Oryctolagus cuniculus: one gene and its partner. The protein of the gene in region 1 interacts with the protein of each later gene in a pairwise test. Links are inferred from orthologs where the notes say so. Each region holds a gene or a part of one and is shown on either strand. Other genes may lie near its edges.

Region 1 (3,646 bases):
GGCAGAACTCATCTGACTTGAGCAAACAAGTTAGTAGCTCGTCCTTTATGTGCTTGTATTGTCATCTCTGCCCTGATGAGCCCTTGGCCTGATACTCATCGTTTACACTTACAAATAACTGTGCCACTCTCTAGGTCACGGCCAGGATTTTGGTTTTGTTTTTAAAAGCCTCAACTTTCACAGGCCTCGGTGGCAAATTTTGAGCAACAGACTTCCCATTCATTGTAGTAAGACCCTTTTAAACTGACACTAAATTCCCTAAGAATTCCCTAAGTTGTTTAACAAAATAAATTCAATGCCACACACACACACACACACACACACACAAATCCTGATTTATTCCCTGTTTCTCATACATCATTGGTGTTGTTCTACTTAAAAAGCAACAGCAGTGACTCCAAAAAATGTTTACAATTTAATTATATGTGTATGTTAATCTGAGTAACTTAAATACAGAAAAGAGTTAGTACACCACAAGCATTTTCTACATTTTTATTTTGTGGTGATTGTGAGACAAACACAGTCCAAACATTAAACTTCTCGTCCTCCCCTCCCAAACACTATCTGACTCCACAGCTCATGCAGCCCAATTACAGCAGTTGTCAGGTTGGCACGATGGCGTCTCACCCGAGTTCCAGTTTACCCTCCTGAATCCCTTTCTCATCATTTAAAAAATAAATAAACCCACATGCGATTGAGACGCGAGGTCTTCTTTACACTCACCAGCAGGGGGCACATGTGAGCACTACTGCCACACAGCCTGCTCTGGTCCTGCTCCCCAGCTGGAAATCCAGTCTGGGAGGGGGCATCCTACAAGGGTCTGGATCCCTGAGGACACTGGGAAATACTTTTCTTTCCACACCATCCCTCACAGGGCCCTACAAGTCTCTGCGACATCTGGCTCCTACAGGACTTCTCCAGGCCCACCTAGTCTTGCCTACACTCTCATTCCAAACTGAATCAGATTCTCCCTGGCAGGTGAATCACTCCCCATTAATAAGTGCAGTGCTTGGAGGAGCTGCGTTAACTGTTTCAGGCCACTTGGGTGCCTTTCAGTACAGGCTGCTTCGGGCCAGAACACCTCAGTCCCATCCCTTTCACACTATGAATTTAATCAGCAGCCAGCAGTCAAGGGAGTTGACGCAGAAGGTGCACTAAGACTCATCTCCAATTAGCAAGCCTCAGTCAGGAGCTACCTACAGGGAGCAGGCAGCCCCAGGGGTAGACAGCCCACTCCTAATTATTCCTGCAGCAGGAAGCGAGGTCCAGACTGCAACTCTAACGGTAGTGGAGGGTGGGGGAGGCACAAAGCAGCAACAGCTGAAGAGGTGCCAGCAGCTGAGGCGCCGCACTCAGCCACGCAGCCCCAGGACAAACAATGCCACTGTCTGTAGTGTGCTGCGCATTACGAGGGGCTCCTCAGACAGATCTGATGCCCCGGGCACCAGGGAGCCCATCCACACCCACACCCACACAGAGGGATGGACACACACACACACACACACACGCACACACACTATATATATGTATAAATTTGGGTGTATATGTGCACATACACACACACAGCCTCAGTGATGACTTAGCACCTCACTGCCAGGAGTGTCTTCTGGGACAGAAACGCATGTGTATGGAGGTTCATGCACACATTTCAACACCCACAGCCTGCTCTGCTCCGTGACAGTACTGGGAATGCCCCTGTAAATGAGCCAGGAGGTGAAGGCGGACCAGTGGGAGGCAGTGCTTAGCGCTTCTGAATGAGCCCTTTCCCGGCACCTGGTGTTTCCTGGGGTTGAACTTAACCTTGGCCTCTCTCTGCCCTAACCCGATACATTGACTCCATCTGGCTTTCTAACTCAGTGTGACAATAAGTCTGAGTCAACCCCTTGGTCACTTTCCTGGGGCTTAGTTCCCTCTAAGTCTAGAATGAAGGGAGGAGGAAAAAAAAAATAAGACACACCCCAATTGATCTTGTGTAACAGTAAAGATTAATGGGAAAGTGTTAAAAAAAAATCACAAAGAAGCTGCCCACTCTGTGGCAGTCTTGCACACGTGTACAATGAGTTTACCAGCCCATAAATATATGCAACCAACACAACCTCATGCTGCGGTGTGTACAAGGGTCTGAGAGTGACTGGCTATCATTTCTTGCTCTGGGCAAGCGTTCGCCTCTTTGCATCTTCTTCTCTAAGTCACTATAAGGTGTCAGTGTCAATCATTACCCTCTCCAGGTCCTGCCGCAGGTGCGTGAACAGCTGCAGCCTCCTAAACAAGACATCCTGCTCCCGCTTCGCTAGATTGTCCTCTTCGTCTTTCTTTGGGGTGATCAGGGGCTTGTTGAAGTTCACTTTCCTCTTCAACTTCCAGTACTGGTACAGGAAATCCACTACTTCCTCGGGCAGCCGCAGGGCCCTGGCGACATCCAGCAGGTTGACGAAGGTGTAGAACTCGTCTTCCAGCTGCTGCAGCTTCTGCTTACGGACACTGACCCTGTGGGCTTCCTCCCGGTTCTGCTCAAGGCTGGCAAAGGGCTCCAGAGGATCCCGGGGGGAACACTCAGGGGCCCCATTCTCCTGCGTGGCACCCTCACCAAGGCTCTCCTCGGCTTTCCTGTGTGAGCTATGCTTCGGGCAGTAGGACTTGAACTTCACTTCATCGTTCTCCGCCAAGATGGTCTTCATCTCCAGGCCCCGGTCAAAAGCACAGGTCACGTGGAAGGCCGTGCGGCAGTTTTTCACAGAGCACTGGGAAGAACCCACAGAGGAGAAAGACCGTTAGAGAGCAGCAATGATGGGCGCCCCCAAGGGGCCACACAGGCTCCCGCAGCAGAGCCCCACTTTGCAGCATGAGCCGAGGCAGGAAGGTTTACATGAATTAACCCTGGCAGATCAGGGCTCTCTAATGGGGTAAGACACAGAGTGTAAGAGGACTCTTCAGGTTGAAGTGTCCATAGCCCAATCAAACCATACGTAACATTCTTAGAAAAGTAACGACATCCAAATCCCCTCAAAGCAGACGGAATGACAAAAATGTGCGTGTAGAGGAAGATGGGTGATACTCGGAATGCGTGCTCAATATGCACAGTACAGCTGAGGGTACTTCAAAAAGTTCACGGAAAGTGAAAATAAAAGGGGTGTCTATTTTTGGTGCAAAATATTTTTGAAATCCATTCATGATTTGTTCACAATATGCATTTTTCATGAACATTTTGAGATTTCTGGGATACACAGACTTCAAAAACGTTTTTGCAGGGCTGGTGCCGTGGTGTACAGGTTAAGCCGTTGCCTGCAGTGCCAGCATCCCATGTGGGCACTGGCTCGTGTCCCAGCTGCTCCACTTCAGATCCAACTCCCTGCTAATGCACCTGGGAAAGCAGTGGAAGATGGCCTGAGTCCTTAGGCCCCTGCCACCTACATGGAAGACCCAGATGAAACTCCTGGCTCCTGGCTCAGCGTGACCCAGCCCTGGCCATTGTGGTCATTTGGTGAGTGACCAGCAGATGAAGATTTCTCTATCTCCCCCCCCCGTAATGAGGAATTCCAAATAATTAAATTAATAAAAATTATAATAATTCTGGATAGTGAACTTTAAAATGTTTTGCACCAAAATGAACATATCTCCTGTTTTCTGCCACCTTTCTGTCTGGCCC
Region 2 (3,746 bases), on another chromosome or scaffold:
CGGGGCCCCCCCGGGCTGCCTCCCAGGGGCAGCAGCGGGGAGCTGGGGCTCGAACCCGGGCAGTTGGATGTGGGAGGAGCTGCGGGCGCCGTAACCACGGTAACGAAGCCAGCACTGCCCGCCCCGCCCCACAGCCGAGGGTGGGAGGGGCTCACCTCTCAAGGCCCCGCCCCCCGGATGGAAAGAAGGGGTGGGGTCGCCAGGAGAGGCCCCGAGCTCCGTGTTCTCGCTGCTGGAGTCTGACCCTCGGGTCCCCTGGTCGCCGAGGGGCCGCTGCCGGATGCGGGCGAGGATGGCGGCGGCCCAGGCCTCCCCCCGCCCGTGCCAGCCCCCGCAGGGCCCCGCTGGCCCCTGGTCCGAGCAAGGCTGCCCGTGGGCCAGCGGCCAGGCCCTCGGCGAGGCACCCACGGAAGCGACTGTGCCCGGCCGCCGGGCGGGTTCCTGTGATGCGTTCCAGAAAGCTCTGTGGGGGGCAGGGTGGCGCCAACCTGATGGGCGGGCTCGCTCCCGGGCCCACCCACACTTCCCGCTCAGCAGCCGGGCCGGGGTCCCGGGTGGGGCTCAGCTGCTGTCCTCGCTGTCCGAGTAGGCGCCCAGCAGGCTCAGGGAGGAGGGGCGGGGCGCGGGCGGGGCCGGTGCGGCTGCGGGCAGAGGGGAGGGTTGAGACCCCCGACCAGAGGGGGCGGCGCGCAGCCCCGGCTCCACCCTGCGCCTGACACTCGGCCGAGGCCCACCCGCCCAGGGTCTGGGCCCCATCACCCCCATTTTACAGGACAGGAAGCTGAGGCCCAGAGGGTGGGTGCCCTGGCCCTGGCTATGGAACTAGTGGAGGTGCGGGTGGGGGTGAGGGTCGCACCCGAGTCGCCGGGCTAAGACCCTGACCCTCTGTCCCCCGGGCTCGGGGAGGGCACACGGAGACCACCAGCTCCACACGCCGGGAACTCTGCGCCTGTGCACAAAGCGCCCTGGGACCCGAGCGCCCCCAGCCCCGGCCCCTCCGCCCGCCTGCGGGAGGCTCTGCTGCCCCCTGGCGGCCGCGGGCGGCACCGCGCTCCCCCGGGGCACTGACCTGGGCCGGGGGCCGCGGCGCCCTCGGGATCCGTCCTCGGCTTCTTCACCACCACCAGGCCGGACAGCTGCGCCTTGCGGCTGCCACCGCCCGCCTTCCTCTTGCCCTGCGGGTGCCGGACGCGTGTGGCCCATCGGTGCCGCCCGCCTCGCCTGCTGCCCACCGCCCGGGGCTCGGCCGGGTCCTCCCGTGACCACGCGGGCTCTCCCTGCCACGCCCCCACCACGCCCCCCCCAACCCGAGCGCCTACTCGGTGCCCCGGGGGAGCCCGGCCCCCGCCACGGCCGGCCCGGAGCCAGCAGGTGGGGGGGTCACTGTGCCTCTCAAATAAAAAGGGGGTGGGCTTCCAGGCTGCCGCTGCCGCAGGGCCCGCCCTGGCCGGGTAGCTGTAATAAAGCTTTATTGGCACAAGCCACACCCCCGGGTCACACACTGGGCTCTGAGCTCAGGGTCGGGCGGGCTGCCCCTGCCCCCGCCCCCACATAACCCCTCACCTCCTCCAGGATGGCCGTGGGGCTGGGCCGGGGCGCCGGCCGCGGCGGGGCGGGGGCCGTGTCCTCCTCCGAGTCGGAGTCCTCCAGCAGCCGGCGCCTCTGGGCTTCCTCCAGCAGGGCCCTGGGGGAGGGGCGTCTGTGTGGGCTAGAGCGGGCCGGGGGCTCCCCCGCGGGTGGCAGGTGCACAGCCCTGGGTCGCTCACTGCCGCCTGAACCGGGGGCTCCCAACCACTGAGGGAACCGCGGCCCGGCCCAGGTCGGGTGGGGGAGGGGGAGGGGAGGGCGGCGCCGCCCCCCCCAGTCCTGCCCATCCACGCGGCCCTGGGAGGAGGGGCCGGGGGCGGGGCTGGGGAACCAGAGCCCCGCCCCGCCCACTCACGCCGTCCCGCGCGTCCCCCGCCCCCACTCACGCCGTCCCGCGCGTCCTCCCCCCCACTCACGCCGTCCCGCGCGTCCTCCCCCCCCACTCACGCCGTCCCGCGCGTCCTCCCCCCCCACTCACGCCCTCCCGCGCGTCCTCCCCCCCCACTCACGCCGTCCCGCGCGTCCTCCCCCCCCACTCACGCCGTCCCGCGCGTCCCCCGCCCCCACTCACGCCGTCCCGCGCGTCCCCCCCACTCACGCCGTCCCGCGCGTCCTCCCCCCCCACTCACGCCGTCCCGCGCGTCCTCCCCCCCCACTCACGCCGTCCCGCGCGTCCTCCCCCCCACTCACGCTGTCCCGCGCGTCCTCCCCCCCCACTCACGCCCTCCCGCGCGTCCTCCCCCCCACTCACGCCGTCCTGCGCGTCCTCCCCCCCCACTCACGCTGTCCCGCGCGTCCTCCCCCTACTCACGCCGTCCCGCGCGTCCTCCCCCACTCACGCCCTCCCGCGCGTCCTCCCCCCCACTCACGCCCTCCCGCGCGTCCCCCCCACTCACGCCGTCCCGCGCGCCCCCCCCACTCACGCCGTCTCGCGCGCGTCCTCCTCCTGCTCGCGCTGCCGCCGCTCGTCCTCGGACAGGCGGTGCAGGCGCAGCATGGCCTCGAAGTCCACGCAGGCCTGGCGCTGGTTCAGGTCCTGCAGGTCCTGCAGGTTCTCCAGGGCCTGCATCTCCAGCTTCGAGTCCTTGGTGCGGTTCTCCAGCACCTGGCGGCGGGCGCGGGCGTGGGCGGGCGGCTCAGGCCGGGCCCCTCCCGCACACCCCCGCACCCCCACCCCCACCCGGGCTCCACGGCGGGCGGCTCAGGCGCGGCCGGGCTCCCACCCTCGCTGGGACGCGGAGGCTGCGCGGGGTCCCGTGTGCAGGTCTGGGGGGCGGGGTCTCAGCTGTGGGGTCTCGGGGGCGGGGACCGGGGGCGGGGTCTCAGCTGAGGGGTCTCGGGGCGGGGACCGGGGGCGGGGTCTCGGGGGCGGGGTCCCGTGTGCAGGTCCCGGGGCGGGGTCTCAGCTGTGGGGTCCGGGGGGGCGGGGTCTCAGGGCGGGGCCCGGGGGCGGGTGGCAGGTCGGGGCCCGGGGGCGGGGTCTCGGGGGCGGGGTCCGGGGGCAGGGACCGGGGGCGGGTGGCAGGTCGGGGCCCGGGGTGGGGTCTCGGGGGCGGGGTCCCGTGTGCAGGTCCGGGGCGGGTGGCAGGTCGGGCCCGGGGGCGGGGTCTCGGGGGCGGGGTCCGGGGGCGGGGCCCGGGGGCGGGTCGCAGGTCGGGCCTGGGGGCGGGGTCTCGGGGGCGGGGTCCGGGGGCGGGGACCGGGGGCGGGTGGCAGGTCGGGCCCGGGGGCCCCCACCTTCATGGGGTTGTTGAGCTCCTCGTCCTCCCGCTCGCGCTGCAGCCGCCGCTCCTCCTCCTCCAGCAGCTTCTCCGCCTGGAAGTTGCGGGAGGCGCCGTGCTCCATGCTGTAGTCCGTGTTCTCGGGGTCGGTCTGCGGGGGCGGGCGGCGGGTCAGCGCGGGCCAGGGCCCTGCGCCCCCCACGGTCCGTGCTCTCGGGGTCGGTCTGCGGGCCGGGGCCCTGCGCACCCTCGCACCCTCGGCACAGACCGACCCCGGCCCACCGCCTCGCTATCAGAGGGAGGGAGAGAGAGAGGGAGAGAGGGAGGGAGGGAGTGCGAGAGGGAGGGGGGAGGGAGTGCGAGAGGGAGGGGGGAGGGAGTGCGAGAGGGAGGGGGGAGGGAGTGCGAGCTGCCGTCCACTGATGGCTCCCGGAGCGC

What was found.
Region 2: the proteins of JADE1 (region 1) and YJU2 interact in a two-hybrid assay, tested with the Homo sapiens proteins (2 studies listed by BioGRID and IntAct). The two-hybrid records come from large-scale screens. The link is inferred for Oryctolagus cuniculus from reciprocal best matches to the Homo sapiens genes JADE1 and YJU2.

Annotation. Positions count from the first base shown.
Region 1 is NC_091439.1:35,900,647-35,904,292, forward strand, and holds part of JADE1 (protein Jade-1), read right to left. Parts: intron 2,742-3,646; coding exon 2,220-2,741; intron 1-2,219.
Region 2 is NC_091447.1:59,721,424-59,725,169, reverse strand, and holds part of YJU2 (splicing factor YJU2), read right to left. Parts: intron 3,460-3,746; coding exon 3,325-3,459; intron 2,693-3,324; coding exon 2,511-2,692; intron 1,685-2,510; coding exon 1,564-1,684; intron 1,176-1,563; coding exon 1,070-1,175; intron 642-1,069; coding exon 562-641; 3' UTR 1-561.